2 linked regions of the Lonchura striata genome follow. The protein of the gene in region 2 interacts with the protein of the main gene of each other region in a biochemical or structural test. Links are inferred from orthologs where the notes say so. Each region holds a gene or a part of one and is shown on either strand. Other genes may lie near its edges. The genes, in order: SYNRG and AP1G1.

Region 1 (7,660 bases), on a different chromosome or scaffold from region 2:
CAAACAGTGCTGCTGCAGAGAAAGCACATCTCCCCCTCCCAGCAGGGCTCCCCAGGAGTCAGTGAGGGCCACTTACTGCTGCTCCTCTGCAAACTGCTTCTGCATGTCGGGGCCGTACTGCGGGGCGGCCGGGCGCATTCCCAGGAAGGAGGCCTGGCCCATGTAGGGCATTCCAGCTGCTGGCATCGGCCCGAGGGCCATGCCACCCTGCAAGCAAACACAGCACACAGCTCCGGGGGGGGTTTTCAGCTCCAGTGTATTTTTTTTCCCTGTAGAAAAAGCCAAAGCACTGGCAGTGCCAATAAACGGAGCCTGGTGTTAGGGAGTGCTGGAGGAGCAGTGCCCTCAGTAGATGGCACTCTTCCTCTCCACAAGCGCTCAGCCTCACAGAATTCGGGAAAACTGTCAAAAACCAACTCTTCAAACCCAGCCTGCCCCAAGAGCAGCAAGGCTACAGCCGTCCCACACCACTCAGTACAGGATTTTTTGGGATTTTTGGTTCCTATTCTAAGGAATTTCATATTTTTATACCCCCTCCTACCAACCACAGATGCTGGAAAATGTGGTCTAGGCATTTCCCAGACATATCCAGGGAACCAACAATATATGACAACAGCCAAGAGGAGCTTGTCTGAATAAACCATATCAGAAGCATTTGCTGAGGAATATATTCTGGGACATCTAGAGCAGCAAAGCTGCCTAATATAGAAGGAGCCAGAAAATAATTATTTTTCTTGCCATTCATTTTGCATTTGGTCTCAGAACACGTAGGAAGAGAACAAAAGTTGTTTATTATTTTTAGACCAGCTCTCATAAAAACATCTTCCTACTATAAATTTTGCCAAAATAACATAATAAATTGCAGCTGGGGGAGGGAAGGGAGTGTAAGGAGATGGCAAAACAATAAATTCCATTTGTGACACGGCAATTTGGTTAGAAAGTCATGCAAAACATTGAATTTCAACAAAGTGCAAAACTGTACATAAGCATATATGGCGCTAAATAGAAAACAACAGATTAAAAGAGAGAAAATATAATATGATCTGCTCATATTTCATTCTTATTCCTCAATTAGCAACAGCAGCACTAAAGACAAAGTTACCTTGAGGAAAAAGAAAAATGATAGGACAGAGGGAAAGGCTGTAACCTGAAGGAGGGCAGGCTTAGATTGGATATTAGAGAGAAATTCGTCCCTGTGAGGGTGGTGAGGCCCTAGCACAGGGTGCCCACAGAGGTTGTGGACTCCCCATCCCTGGAAGCGGCCAAGGCCAGGCTGGATGGAGCTTGGAGCAGCCTGGGAGGGTGAAAGGTGTCCCTGCCCATGGCAGGGGGTGGAACTGGATGAGCTTTAATGGCCCTTTCAACCCAAACCAGCCTGGGGCTCTGCAGTTTCAGCCCACATTTCATTGCCACACACCTGCATGGCCATGGGTCCAGGAGGCATCTGAGAGCCATAATTCATTCCCATCATCCCTGGCATGTTGGTCTGCATGACAGGAACCATTGGAAACCCTTGCTGTTGCATAGGAATCATCCCTGCAATGAAACATTAAACAAGCTAAGAGCCCAGTTAATGTTAAAAGCTTTTTTTTTTTCCCTTCCCTAACCCTGCCTCTCCCATTTAATTGTTTTGGTTTTGGGGGTTTTTTTTTGTTTGTTTGTTTGGTTGGTTTTTTTTTGTTTTGTTTGGTTTTTTTGGTTTTTTTTTTTTGTTTACTAAACCAGCAAAGGAAAGTAAAAAAAATCTTGAGTTGAGCTGGACTGTTTAAAAATAAAAATAATAACATTTGCTACACTGCAGGCAGCCACAGAAATCTCCTTAGTTTAGACACTGGTCATTCTACAGGGAAAAATATTACAGGGCTTTTCAGTAACTAACCTGATGAATTATCCCACCATCCTAAAGATTCTCTGTGGGTTTTTTCCCATAAGATTTTTGGAAGGGTCATTTCCAATTAAAACTATTTAATTAACCAGAGTGACTGGTGCTGGTAATTCCTATTTCTCTTGAAACCAGCAGCTTCTGAAAATAAATCTTGGGAAATAAAGTCAACCTTTCACAAAGCAACTTCACACTCTGACCTGGCTGGGTAACTTGTCTGTAGGTTAATTAGCACACTTTAGGTTAATTAGCCCACTACATGTGTTAGAATGGTAACAATACTTGTCAGTAAAAGCTAAACATGCACAAAATTGGACAAATCAAGCTGGAATGTATTAATTCACTGAATAAAGCAAGTGTTATGTTTCAGCATCTTCCTCCCTCACATTTTGCTGTCTTGGGAGACAAACGCTAACATGCACTTGTTACCAGCACACCATGGAGATAATTATGCAAAAACACTCCAGGAGGGCATGACACAGGCAGGAATAATCCATGAATCAGTCCCTGCGATTTTAATAAAAAACTCTATTTTCCCCGTAAATTCTCTGCATATTTTCCCCTAATTAAACAAACAGCACTGCATCAGGAATGAGAACAAAGGCAATTTAAGGCTGAGGCTCTGCCATTGTATTAATACTTTCCACACAGGTTGTGACTCTTGTCCTGGGGTCTTGATGTGCTTTGTAAATATTTACCAGGTCTTGCAACACCCACACAGTATGGGTATACACAGCTGGGAGATGAAGCAAAGAGAGGTGAAATACCACACTCAAAATAACACCAGAGTCTAAAAGGCCAATTCAGGTTAAAAAGGGAGATGTAGTTTTCCTGGACCTTTAATCCAGATTCTGGTGGCGCTGCTTCAACAGCACACTGGAGGTTTTCCCAGCAGAGGAGTGAGAGTCATTTGAACAGAGCTGAATTCAAAAGGACAAAAACCAGCCATGGAGTTCAATTAATAATCACACCTCTGAACATCACTGCAGACCTGGTTTAGGTCTAATTTGTCTGAACAAAGTCAAGAACTTTGTGCTCAAAATGCGCAGCCGATACGTACCTTGAGGGGGGCCCAAACCACCTGCCACAGGAAACATGAAGCTGCAGGAGGAAAACGAGAGTATGTGAAATTCTGTCACTTTAGGGCAAATGGAAAATCCACCTCGACTTCCACGGCAGCACCACCACCAGGAGCCTCCCACCTTCTGGTCAGCACTTGCAGCTGCTCCTGCAGGTCCCCCAGAACCCAAGCCCATCCAAGGCAATGTTATCCCTCAGTGGGATCCCCCGAAGCACCCCACAGCGCCAGCACAGGCTGCAGAGCCAGGAAACGCAGATCTGATCCTCCCAGCAGCCCTGACACGGCTTTGACTCATCCACATCACCCACAAGAGACTCTCAGCACCCACACAGCTTGGGAACAGGTCAGTTTGTTGTGTGGGCTAAGCAGGGAATGAATAACCATCTCCTCTTGGAAGTATCTGACTCAGCAGGACCACCAGAGAACACTTCTCAGCTGCTTAGGAACAGCTTTTCTGAAGAAAAATAAACTATCCACAAAACTCCATTACTTTTCCCCTTCCCCTTTTAGAAACACTAAGTATCACAAAATAATAGAGTTTCTATTTTCTCAGTTGTCTAATTACAACAAAAATAGCATCTTGGAGAAAACATTCATTCACATATCAAGGGTCAAGTGCACCTAGAGGAAGAACCATTAAAATTTCAACTAAAATCCTAATGGAAATTGCTAGCCCTCACTCTGAAACAGCTGCCAAACAGTAAAAAAGGGCCTAGTTTAAAATTCTCATCTGCAAGCAACTTGCAGAAACCCACGTCAGCAGCAATTTCCCAAACAAGAACCTCACTCAGTGTCCCAGGCAGTTATTACATCAAAGTGCTGTGGAAGAGAAACACACTTATAGATATTCAATGTTCAATTCCAAGGGTGGATGTAAAAGAAACTGTCGAAGAGTACAAGAGAAAATGCCATCAGAAATGGCTGCAGGAAGTCCTGAAAGCCAACCTGGTTTATAAATATAAAAGAGCTGTGTAATATGAGCACTAAGATAAAATAAGGAATTTAAATTATGCATTTATCCAGGAGCAAATTGCACCTCCTCACTGTACAGGCAGCGGGTCACACGGTCACCAAGACCCATTTGCTCTTCACTTTATTCATGATCTTCATCATCTTGAAGCTTCTTCTTCAGCCCTGAGCATTGTGTGCTGATTTTGCCTTCCATAACTATCACACACCTGTGCTTCCCAATGGTCTAGTCTTGCCATCCTCCACCCCCACCATCTGGGGATCTCCCTCTGAAGAACTCTGCAGACTCAAACAGCTCAGCCCCAAACATGTGCAGGGCTTGATTCTCACCACAGCCAAGGTCTGTTTAACTCTATTCAGTCATTTAAATCCATTCCTTGGCATACAGTATCAACATGAAAACAAATAGACTTACTTTAGTCAGAATGATGAAATACTAAATGTAATTTCTGAAGATCTCCTAAGCATGTAGAAGTGTTCTAAGCTTCCTGCTTCCCTTCTGGTTGGGGAACCTGAACAACAAGAATTCTGAACCTGAACAACAAGAATTCTCCAAACCAGCAAATGCAATGTAAACTGAACAAGCGTCAGGAGGTACCACTGCTTGTTGGGAGCAAGTAGAGGCCAAACTATTAAATATTTATCCCTTTCTACACAGCTCCTGGTTTATTTATAAGTCTCTGCTGAAAAAAATAAAAAGAAACAATCAACCAAAAAACTCCCAGCTGATTAGAGGGCACTGCAAGATGAGCTAGTCCAAAGTAGAAAAGCAAGCTCTGGCAGCACAGCCCCGTCCGTATTCACTCCAGGATTCAGTGTGCAACTGCCAGCACCAGCCACACTGGCACAGCCACAAACCATTCCACCAATGGGAATTTATTACTGAACTGCTTTTTTGGAGATGCAGAATTGCCCAGAGCAATCAGTGAAAGCAGCTGGTTCTGTGGCTGAGGGAGCCAGCGAGGGGACCTGTGTGAGACCGCCTTGGGTACGCTGCACAAACACAGTAAAGAGAAGGGAACAAAGTGATCACCCTACAACAGACCTCCTAAAGCAGTACTAGAAATCTGTAGATTCCTACTACATGAGTATTTTAAATATGGAGCTTAAAAAAAACCACCAAGAAGCCCCAGACCAACCAAGCAAGAGCTTCAGCCAAAATGCAGGAGTGTGGGGAGAAGCAACACCTTTTCTGAACTGAAACTTTGCTGTAACAGCTCCAAACCACACAGAACGTTTTCCCATCTACAAGTGGATTTTTAAACCCCTTAATTCTCAAGCAGTACAACTCCATTGATGCAACAGACCGTCAGAGTATTTTTAAGTGGCAGAAATGTGCAAAAATTGAAGTGAAATCAGGCAAAGAACCCACACAGACACAGAACAGAACTTTCCCTCTACCTCCAGATTTTGTCCTCAGAGAAACCAAAATATTATCAATGGGCAATGGTGATTTGTAAATAATTTTATTTTTCAGAACCTTTATTTCTGAAACTGACAACAGTGACAACACTCCCAGTAACACTGACAAAACTGTGGGCTTTGGATATCCAAGACAACTCAATGAGGCTTAATTGTCAAATGCAAAATTTCCTCAGCCTCCCTGGAAGTAGGACAAGAGATAAACAGCAGATGAGAGCGTACATTGAAAAAAAACATTACTAGAGTCTTCAAAGGTAGTGAAATCCAGTTTTCCAAGCTTTACAGAAACACAACATCTCTTTTAACACTTTTTTTTTTTTTTCCTCCCAACAGGATTCCTCGGTCCTCCCTGTGGCCAAGGTGCCCTTTGTGAGAAGGAGGGGAAAAGGGAAGTCCCCAGGGAAGCTGGGTCCCAGGGAGGCCACAGCCAGACCTGACAGGGACATTTAATGCTGCCGACAGCGGCGGCACTGGCAGAATCCCCAAATCCTTCCCACCCCAATATCTGAGATTGCACCTGCAGAGCCTGACGGCAAGTGGGACACAACTGCCCAAGCCTGGACACACGGGGGGAAAAGAGCTGGGGATTCACCCCAAAAACGTGAATAAATCTTGGCAAAGCGCAGAGCTACCGTGGCTGCATTCCCAACAACACACCTGGGACCCCATGTACTCCACCCAGGACCCCACGTACTCCACCCAGGACCCCACTACATCCTGCCTGGAACACTGATGTTCCATCCACGATCACCGGTACTACACCTGAGCCCCATCCATCCTACCCCAAACCCCACAAAGCTCGCCTGACAACCCACGAACCCCACCTGGGACCCCACCCAAGACCCCACGAACCTCACCTGAGGCCCCACGTACCACACCTGCGACCCCCACACCCCACCCAGGATGCAGCACACCTGAGAGCCCACGCACCCAACCTGGGACCCCCAGGCCCCAGCCAGAAACCTCGCGCAGCGCACCTGGGCCCTGACTGACCCCAATCGCACCTGGACTCCGAGCCCCCAGCGCTCTCATCGCCCCCCATGCCGCCCCTCCCCGCGTGCCTCAATTCCCCATCACCGCCCCCGCTCTTTGTCCGCTGTGCCTCCACGCCCGCCGCTCGCGGTCGGCACCGACCTGGCGGCCCCGGCCGCTCCGCCGCCCGCCCCGCCGGCGCCCCCCGCGCCGGGCCCGGGCCGCAGCGCCATCTTCGCGCTCGGCCCCGCCGTCCGTCAGCGGAGCGGCGGCGGCGGCTTCCGGGGCCGGCCTGGGCAGGCGCCGCCCCCGGCCCCGCCGCTCCCCGTTACACGGTCCTGCGGGTGCGCGGCCCCACAGAGGCACGGCCCCTCGGGTGGACAGCCCCACAGAGACACGGCCCCACAGAGCCACGGCCCCTCAGATGGACAGCCCCACAGAGCCACGGCCCACAGAGCCACGGCCCACAGAGGCACGGCCCCTCGGGTGGACAGCCCCACAGAGACACGGCCCCACAGAGCCACGGCCCCACAGAGGCACGGCCCCACAGAGCCACGGCCCCTCAGATGGACAGCCCCACAGAGGCACGGCCCCACAGAGCCACGGCCCCACAGAGACACGGCCCCTCAGATGGACAGCCCCACAGAGGCACGGCCCCACAGAGCCACGGCCCCACAGAGCCACGGCCCACAGAGACACGGCCCCACAGAGACACGGCCCCACAGAGACACGGCCCCACAGGGCCATGGCCCCACAGAGACACGGCCCCACAGAGCCACGGCCCACAGAGACACGGCCCCACAGAGACACGGCCCCACAGAGACACGGCCCCACAGGGCCATGGCCCCACAGAGACACGGCCCCACAGAGCCACGGCCCCACAGAGCCACGGCCCCACAGAGACACGGCCCCTCGGTGTCTCCGTTCCACGGCCCCACAAAGCCACAGCCCTTCAGTTCCTCCGTTCCACAGCCCCACATCCTCTCAGTTCCTCAGCCCCACATCCCCTCAGCCCCACACCCCCTCGATTCCTCAGGCCCACATCCCTTCAGCCCCACATCCCCTCAATTCCTCAGCTCCACATCCCATTAGTTCCCCAGCTCCACATCCCCTCAGTTTCTCGATTCCTCAGCCCCATAGCCCCTCGGTTCTTCAGCCCCTCAGCCCCATATCCCCACATCCCCTTGGTTCCTCAGCCCCACATCCCTTCAGCCTCTCAGCCCCATAGCCGCAGTTCTTCAGCCCCACACCCCCTCGATTCCTCTGCTCCACATCCCTTCAGCCCCACATCCCCTCGGTTCCTCAGCTCCACAACCCCATGGCCACCCGAGAAC
Region 2 (7,763 bases):
CATAACATGCTAGCTAAGTGGGACAATCTCTTGTCAGGAAAAAGCTATTGAATGCAATAGAGAACTAGAAAGCAACATCAGAAAATCACAAAGCAATTAAGTCAGCAGGGGGCTTAAAAAATGCAGTCACATAAGAAAAGGCATTAGAGTTACACTTTGCTTTATGCAGAGACAGCTGGAGAAGAGCAGGGGAGGTCAAATAAGAAAAAAAGTATCCCAAAACAAGAGCTAAAAACAGTCCTGAAGAGATGGTCCCACTTCCAGTTACATTGAAAAAAAAAAAAACAAACCACCAACAAGGAATGCAGCACAACATTATTTAAAAAGCAAGGCTCAGTGCTACTCAAGAGTTGAGAGGAAGAGGAGAGGCAGGACAGAGGCTGAGGACATTGCACAGATCCCACCCAATCCCACTGCCAAACAACTACAGACCCCTTCCCACTCCCTGCTGACTGAGGCATGGCCCCAGAGCACAAGTCAGCACTTTAGATAAGGTATCCCATTCCTGCACAACTGTGCACATACACCAAACGCAGCAACTCCTGAGCTGCCTTCACACTGAGCTCCCAGTCAGTACAAACATTAACCTCAACAACTGCCAAAAAAGAAGAGAAATATCACCCTATTTTTTTAAGAAGGTAAAAAATGTAGGAAGAAGAATTAGCACAGCTATACAGCTGATCACCATGACAGATTCAAGAAGAATTCAAGATTTTCTGGCTTCTTCAATCACCACTGACCTACATTATCTTATCAACTGCTTCTAATTTCCCCTTAATTTAATCTGTGAACTACTCTGGCTATTTTACTTCCTGTTCACTTTCCTGCAGAGTTAAACTTTAAATAATAATAATTTTAAAAAGCCACTAGTTTGTCACAAAAACCCCTACACCCTTCTAGGTCCTTGCTAATGCCAGAGGAAAGACAAGATTTTTACATTAATTAATATGAACTTTACAACAGGCCACATAACTTCAGCTGTTCTCTAAAAAGTTCTAATCTTTTATTTCACTTGTAGCATTTCTGCCAAATAGCAGATACAGGCTGCACTAATACCTGTGATATCAGCAGATTCACTTGTACTCACATTACTGTAGCTCTGTTTTTTAAGTTACAGCCTGATCATACATTTACTTATTAACTCCAAAATGCTCCTCCAGTAAACTAATGCTCTTACCATAGCAGAACAGACCCTCTCCCCAAAGAACAGCTGAGTATCATCTAGGACAAATTAGCATCACCTGCATTCAGAAGAAATTGTTCTATCATTAAAAAATGTGATGAGATCACACAACCCATGGCCTGCAGTTCTACAGGGCCAGCTCACAAATACAAATATTCACTCTGGAGAGGCACAAGCAGCTTTACTGACTGCCATCACTTTTAGCAGCAGTAAAGATTTACACGAGCCCACACACTTGGAAAGCTGATGCTCCAAACCTGAACTGCGCTAACTAGGGTGGGCTCTGTGTGCCTGAGAACAGCCAGTTTGGACTCCTGTGCACTGTCCACAACCTTCTCACACCATGGCCTGACAGACTCACTAATCTCATGCACAGCGAGGCCACTGCAAAACGCACTACACCAACAATCAGAGCATTTCTGTTATCCCCTAATCTCTCACGGGACACTTCAAAGGTACTACACGATCTTTCCATCTCTACCGTGCCACTCTCAGAAAAACACATCAGCAGTCACAGGAACAGAAAAGAAAAACAACAAAAAAGGAAGAAAATGTTTTTTTTTTAATCATAAAGGGAGAAAATATGAAAGCTATCCTACACACTGGAAACACAAAAGCTGGATCCCCTCACAAAACAATAACCCAAGACTTACTTTTCCCTTCTCAAGAAACAGGAATTTTAATACCTTTCCTCTCCTTCTCCCAGCACAGTAGAATGGAAGGGTTCACACCAACCTCCTCAGAAAAAAACCCACAAAATCTCCTGCCTTCATTCAGCTCTTGAATACCCAACAAGTACTCAAGTTTTCAAATCCTGTGCCAAACACCAGAGAGCACACAAGTAAACAGATGAAAGAATCTGGCAACAAATGACAAGAATTTGATATACAAACAAACAAAGGAAAAAAATCCCAAGTGTAGTTTAGAGGAGAGGTAGCAGGGAAATGGGTACAAAAAGCTATTGTGCTCTACTACACAAAAAAACAACAGGGAAACAAAACAGCACAAATTTCTCTGCCATTTTAAATGTAGGATGCTAGGAGCATCCCTAAAAGATTCCCCTGCATTTACAGGGGAAAACACACTATATTTTACTGTTTAAGCCACTATGGACCAAACACCTTTTGGCCACACATGTGACACTGTTAACCTTTCAAAGATCTTCCACTGGGATTCTGCACTGTCCCATTAATATTTCAAGCATCAGAAACTGAAATTTGTCGCTCAACATTTTTACACATCACTTTCAACACAATAAAACACACACCTGTTCCATCTGTTAACTTTAAAAACAGTGTCTACTATAAAATAAACTACAATTTATCTTATAGCTCGTGCGAGAGCTCAGCCAGCCTTGAAGAAGGGACTTGAAGGCGCCCTTAGAGACCGGCCATAGCAGCTCACTGCAAATACCTTGAGCCAGACCGAAAATCTCCTGCTTCCATTAAAACCCATAACCGGGAAGTAATGCAGACGCTGCAATATTCGGAGCGCTTGTGCAGCCTAGGCAATCATATAGCGAGGGGAAGGCCGAGCACAAGTCCCGACTTCTGCCAGGACGGCAGCGGGCCACAGCACGAACCGCTCTTGAGGTACGCGCTACTGCTGCCGCTGCCCGACCTCCGGGCACGGGGGCCGAGGCAGGGCTGCACCGCCGTCTCTCCGGCAAAGAATGGCTAGGGCACGCACGGACCGCTCCCACACCCGAGCAGGAGGCCCCGGGGCGCAGGGGAGAGTTGGAAGCGGGCCGGAGCGCCAGGCAGAGACAGCGGCGCCGACAGAGGCGGCGGGAGGGCAGGGGGCGGCCTCGCGGACAGAGCAGCCGAGGCCCAGCGGCGGAGCTCGGGGCGGAGAGAGGCCCCAGGACTCGCAGGCCCCAGGCGGCGAGACCCGGAGGTCAGGGGAAGCCCGGCGGGGCAGCAAAGACCCGAGCCGGTCCCACTCACCAGGCCGGTCCCTGCAGCGGTGGCGGCGGATAGAGCCGGGCATTCAAAATGGCGGCGGCGCGGCCGCAGCACCGATACCGCAGGCGGAGGGATCCAGGCCGACTCGCTCCCCGCGACTCCGCAGGCTCTGCCGACCGCGGGTGCGAGCGCGGCCGCGCCGAGTTCGGCGGGAACGGGGCGGGGATGGCGAGAGTGTGGTACAGTAGAGGCGGTGGCGGGACCGAAAATACCGCTTGCACTACTTTTCTTGGCGGAAGCACCCGTGAGGTCTTATACGAAAACTTGCGTCTGCACCGTGGCATTCCCTGATGACGTCATGCGCGGGGCGGTCCCGGCACGCGCGCTCCCCATGCCGGGGCCGGGCGGGACCCGCCGCCCGTGTCCGCGGTTCCGGGATCGAGGGGTTCCGAGGGGCCAAGCCGCTCCCAGTTCGCCGAACCTTGCACTGTTGAAACGTCCAGCGGCGGCGGGGTGAACGCAGGGCGCCGCAGGAAACGAGGCAGCTCTGGAAGGGGATACAGAGCCACCCCCGCCCCAGGCAGCTATTCTGTTCCCGCTTCCAGGACCTTATGCCACATTAACGATTATCGAATGACGAGTAGCTGCCCCCGCGGAGCCCGGTCGGCAGCACGGGGCCAGCTGGACACTGCGGGGGTGCGAGACAGGGCACGGGCACGTTCAGACCGAAGGCTCCTGCAGGGGAGCCGGGCCACGCTGCCGCTGGGCCCTCGCTGCCAGCCAACCGCGGAGCGATCCGGTCCGGGGCGCGGGGCCAACAACAGCCGCGCGGCGCTGCCGCCAGGCGCCTGCGCTGGGGCCGGGCGGGCGCGGCTCGCGGGTCGAGCTCAGCTCCGGGCGGACGCGGCTGGTTGCCACGGCAACGGCGCTGCGCGTGCCCCGGGACGCCATCCGGCGCGGCGGAGCCACGCCTACCGAGCAGTTCCGGCGTTCGGCGTGCGCGTCATTGCCATGAGACGCGTCATCGCCGTGCGCCACGGGCGGGGAGGAGCCGGTCCGGGCGCCGGGCGGGCCCGCGGGGCCGGTCCAGGCCATGGCGGGTGAGCCACGGGCACCGGGCGGGCACCGGGCGGGAACCGGGCGAGCCCGCGGGGCCGGTCCAGGCCATGGCGGGTGAGCCGCGGGTACCGGGCGGGCACCGGGCGAGCCCGCGGGGCCGGTCCGGGCCATGGCGGGTGAGCCGCGGGCACCGGGCGAGCACCAGGCGGGCCCGCAGGACGCTACGGGGCGGGGTGCGCGGTAGCGCGGCCGCGGTTTTGGGGCCGGGGTTGGGGGCGGCGACCGGGCTCGGGCGTCTTCCGTCCTCGCGTCCCGCACCGGGGCCAGCGGCCGTCGCCGTGGCCGTTCCCGGGGCCGGGGTTCGGGCCACCTCCCCTTCCCGAGGCCTGGACTCACGGCTCCCTCTGTTCCCGGCACAGGTGAGGCGGCGGCCGGCGGCGCGGATCCCGGAGCCCGCGCGTGGCAACCCCAGTGGGTGCCCCCATGAACGAGCGGCGCGGCCGGGGCTGCCGGGACACCGCAGGGCGCCATGAGAGCGGGCCAGGAGCGCAGCCAGGAGTGTCTCCCGCCCAAGAAGCGAGAACTTGCCGCCGCCAACACTGGCACCGAGGCGGGACGGGCCGGGGGAGCCCAGGGCTCGGGCTCGGGCCCCGAGTGGGCTCGCACGGCTCGCCCGGCTCCCGCCACACCGCGCTACGGTCCCGGCGAGGCCCCCGAGGCAGCAGCGGGGCTGACGGTGGACCAATACGGGATGCTCTACAAAGTGGCAGCACCGCCTGCCACCTTCTCCCCCACGGGCCTGCACCCCGTGGTGAACGTGAGCCCCCTGCCCCCAGCCTTCAGCGTGACCTCGCCCATCATCCAGCACCCGGCGGTGCCCTTCCCCTCCATCCACTATGCACAGATCCCTTCGGCTTCCCTGCAGCTCATTGGTTCCCCCTACACAGTGCCCTATGCCGTCCCTCCTGCCTTCATGCCTAGTCCTCTCCTGTCTCCTTCCACAAACCTCAGTGCCCCCCATGTCCCCCACTTTGTTCCATATGCCTCCCTGTTCACAGAAGAAGCTGCTCCTTCCTCCCAGACTACCTCTCCTACCCACAGCTTCAACAAATCCACCTCTGCAGCCTCTCCTGGGCAGATGCAGCACCACACTGCGTCCCAACCAGTGGACATGCCACCGGGGAGGATTCCTGTTTATTATCAGATGTCCCGCCTCCCACCAGGCTATTCAGCCTATGAGGCACCTGTAGCAGGTGGGAACCCAGACTCTCCTCAGCAAGACAGTCAGCTGAGCTCAGAGGTGGCTGCGGCCAATGGTGGGCAGAGGCCCCTGGAGCAAAGTGTGGCCAGGAGGCCCAACGAGGCTGTGGACTCTGCCAGCAGTGCAGCTGAGGACTGTCTGCCCCCAGGGGCTGCAGCAGGATCTATGGGTGATGGACAGTTCCTTCCAGGTCACCAGATGCTGGGAAGAGAGATCTCTGTGCCTACTCACAGGAGCACCCCAGACGCTGATCTGGAGGTTCAGAGAGTGGTGGGGGTGTTGGCATCTCAGGATTATCATGTTCTGGCAGCCCAGAGGAAAGATGACCCAAGCCCTTTAAATCTTTGCCATAATACCACTGATGGGCAGGGAGACATGCTGAGGAACACCACAGATAGGGCTGCAGCTGGGAACAGCCAGTCCCAGAGCCCATGTGGAATGTCCCCCGAAGAGACTGCTAGACAGAGACAGTTAGCCAAAGGAATGGTGATAGCCAATGGCAAGCCAGTACTTGTTCCCGTTGGATCTGAGCCCGTCAGGTCTTCCACTTCAGAAGTCCTGCTGAGGGAAAGCCCAGATGCACAGGCTCGAGGATATGTGCTTGAAAAGGAGCTGGCCCAGTTGCAGCCACCCAGTTCCTCACAACTGCCCTCTCACTTCATGAAAGGAGCCATCATCCAGCTGGCGACGGGAGAGCTGAAGCGGGTGGAGGACCTGCAGACTCAAGACTTTGTTCGCAGTGCGGAGGTGAGTGGAGGCCTGAAGATCGACTCCAGCACTGTGGTGGATATTCAGGAAAGCCAGTGGCCTGGGCTTGTCACACTGCATTTTGTGGTTGGGGAGCAACAAAGTAAAGTGAGCATTGATGTGCCCCCGGAGCATCCCTTCTTTGTGTATGGCCAGGGCTGGTCCTCCTGCAGCCCCGGGAGGACTGCTCAGCTCTTTGCTTTACCCTGTCACAGGCTGCAAGTGGGGGATGTATGCATATCAATCAGTTTACAGAGCATGAATGGCAACTCTGCTTCTCAGGCCAACTCCCCTCTCATGGATCAGCTGGTATCTGCTAGGGAGAGATTGGAACGAACAGCCCAGGGGCCCAGAGAGCCATGTGACAGAGCTGGTGAAAGGAAGAGCCACACAGATAGAACCAGCACGGCTCAGAGCTCCCATGCAGAATCTTCTCAGTCTGAGGCTGGCAATCTGTACAGTTTGGCCCCAGGCTTCCAAAGATACAGCGTGCAGGCAGAGGAGCCTCGGCCCTCTCTGCTCCGTCCCTCTTTCATTCCCCAGGAGGTCAAGCTGTCTATTGAAGGGCGTTCGAATGCAGGGAAATGATCCCTTAGAGGTGTGAGCTAGGGCAGCCACAGCAAGCGAGCCTCACCATCAGGTAGAGGAATTGCACAGACTGTCAGAGGCTCACCAACAAAGGCTGCTTTCTGCCTTGCAGGAATAGCTCCATTCCAGTTCCATGGCTGACCAGTTGCTCCTGGGGAGTCAGGAGGCCTTCAGTGCCTCAGGGAGCAGCGACAGGCTAGCTGGGGTGGGGAGCAGGGATGTGGTCATGAGTGTGTGATGAGAGCATTCCACAGGCTGCTGGAGGCTGGGGCTTTCTCCCACTTCCTGGGATAACTGACTCCCTGCGGGGCAGGGGCTGAGCATTTGGGGCAGGTAGGGAGATGAGGAGGGCAGACTTGTCTTAAGGTAGCAGATAAAATTGCTGAAGATTTTATTTCTCCTTTCTCATGATGGGGAGATATGGGTCCCCCCTGGAGTTTGGGGGCTCTACTCCCAGCATCCCCTTTCTTCACACATGCACTTTAAAAGGACCGTTCACCGATGGAGCTCTCAAGGGCAGGATGGAGGTGCTTCTCTGGTGGTTCTGATTAATGTCTCTTCCACTGAATCCAACTACTCTTTCTTCTTGCAAAGAATGTACAGATTTGAATGAATCACATAAATTCAAGAGGAAGGACCAAAAGGATGGGCTTGGGTGCAGGTGAATAGGGAACTTGAGCACTTGAGATGGGACACAAGTTGGGATGGGAGACATTGTTTCCTGCTGTAAACTCTACTTAGTTGTTTTGCCACCAAATCAAATCTTTCTTCCTATGTTAATAACTTCCAAAAAACCCTCCTGGGCTTATAGCTTTTGCAGAGGTTAACCGAGGGATGAATGGGGTTGGATTTTTTTGTTTGGTCAAATTTTGATTTTGGATATTTTATTGGTTTGGTTTGTTTTTTTTTTTTTTTTTTTTTTTTTAATCTGGAGCAAAATACATTCAACATTCTCTAGAGAAGGTTGAAAACATCCTTCTTCTGTGAGAAGACCAATGCTATTTTGTTATTAAGTCAGAAA

Evidence for each region.
Region 1: the proteins of AP1G1 (region 2) and SYNRG form a complex in vitro, tested with the Homo sapiens proteins (2 studies listed by BioGRID). The link is inferred for Lonchura striata from reciprocal best matches to the Homo sapiens genes AP1G1 and SYNRG.

What each region holds. Positions count from the first base shown.
Region 1 is NC_134622.1:10,561,071-10,568,730, forward strand, and holds the start of SYNRG (synergin gamma), read right to left. Parts: upstream 3,251-7,660; 5' UTR 3,085-3,250; intron 2,984-3,084; 5' UTR 2,980-2,983; coding exon 2,943-2,979; intron 1,537-2,942; coding exon 1,418-1,536; intron 208-1,417; coding exon 77-207; intron 1-76. UniProt on the Homo sapiens protein: Plays a role in endocytosis and/or membrane trafficking at the trans-Golgi network (TGN). May act by linking the adapter protein complex AP-1 to other proteins. Component of clathrin-coated vesicles.
Region 2 is NC_134615.1:23,780,859-23,788,621, reverse strand, and holds the start of AP1G1 (AP-1 complex subunit gamma-1), read right to left. Parts: upstream 3,243-7,763; 5' UTR 3,130-3,242; intron 1-3,129. Other genes in the region: ATXN1L (ataxin-1-like), read left to right, coding at 4,676-6,742. UniProt on the Homo sapiens protein: Subunit of clathrin-associated adaptor protein complex 1 that plays a role in protein sorting in the late-Golgi/trans-Golgi network (TGN) and/or endosomes.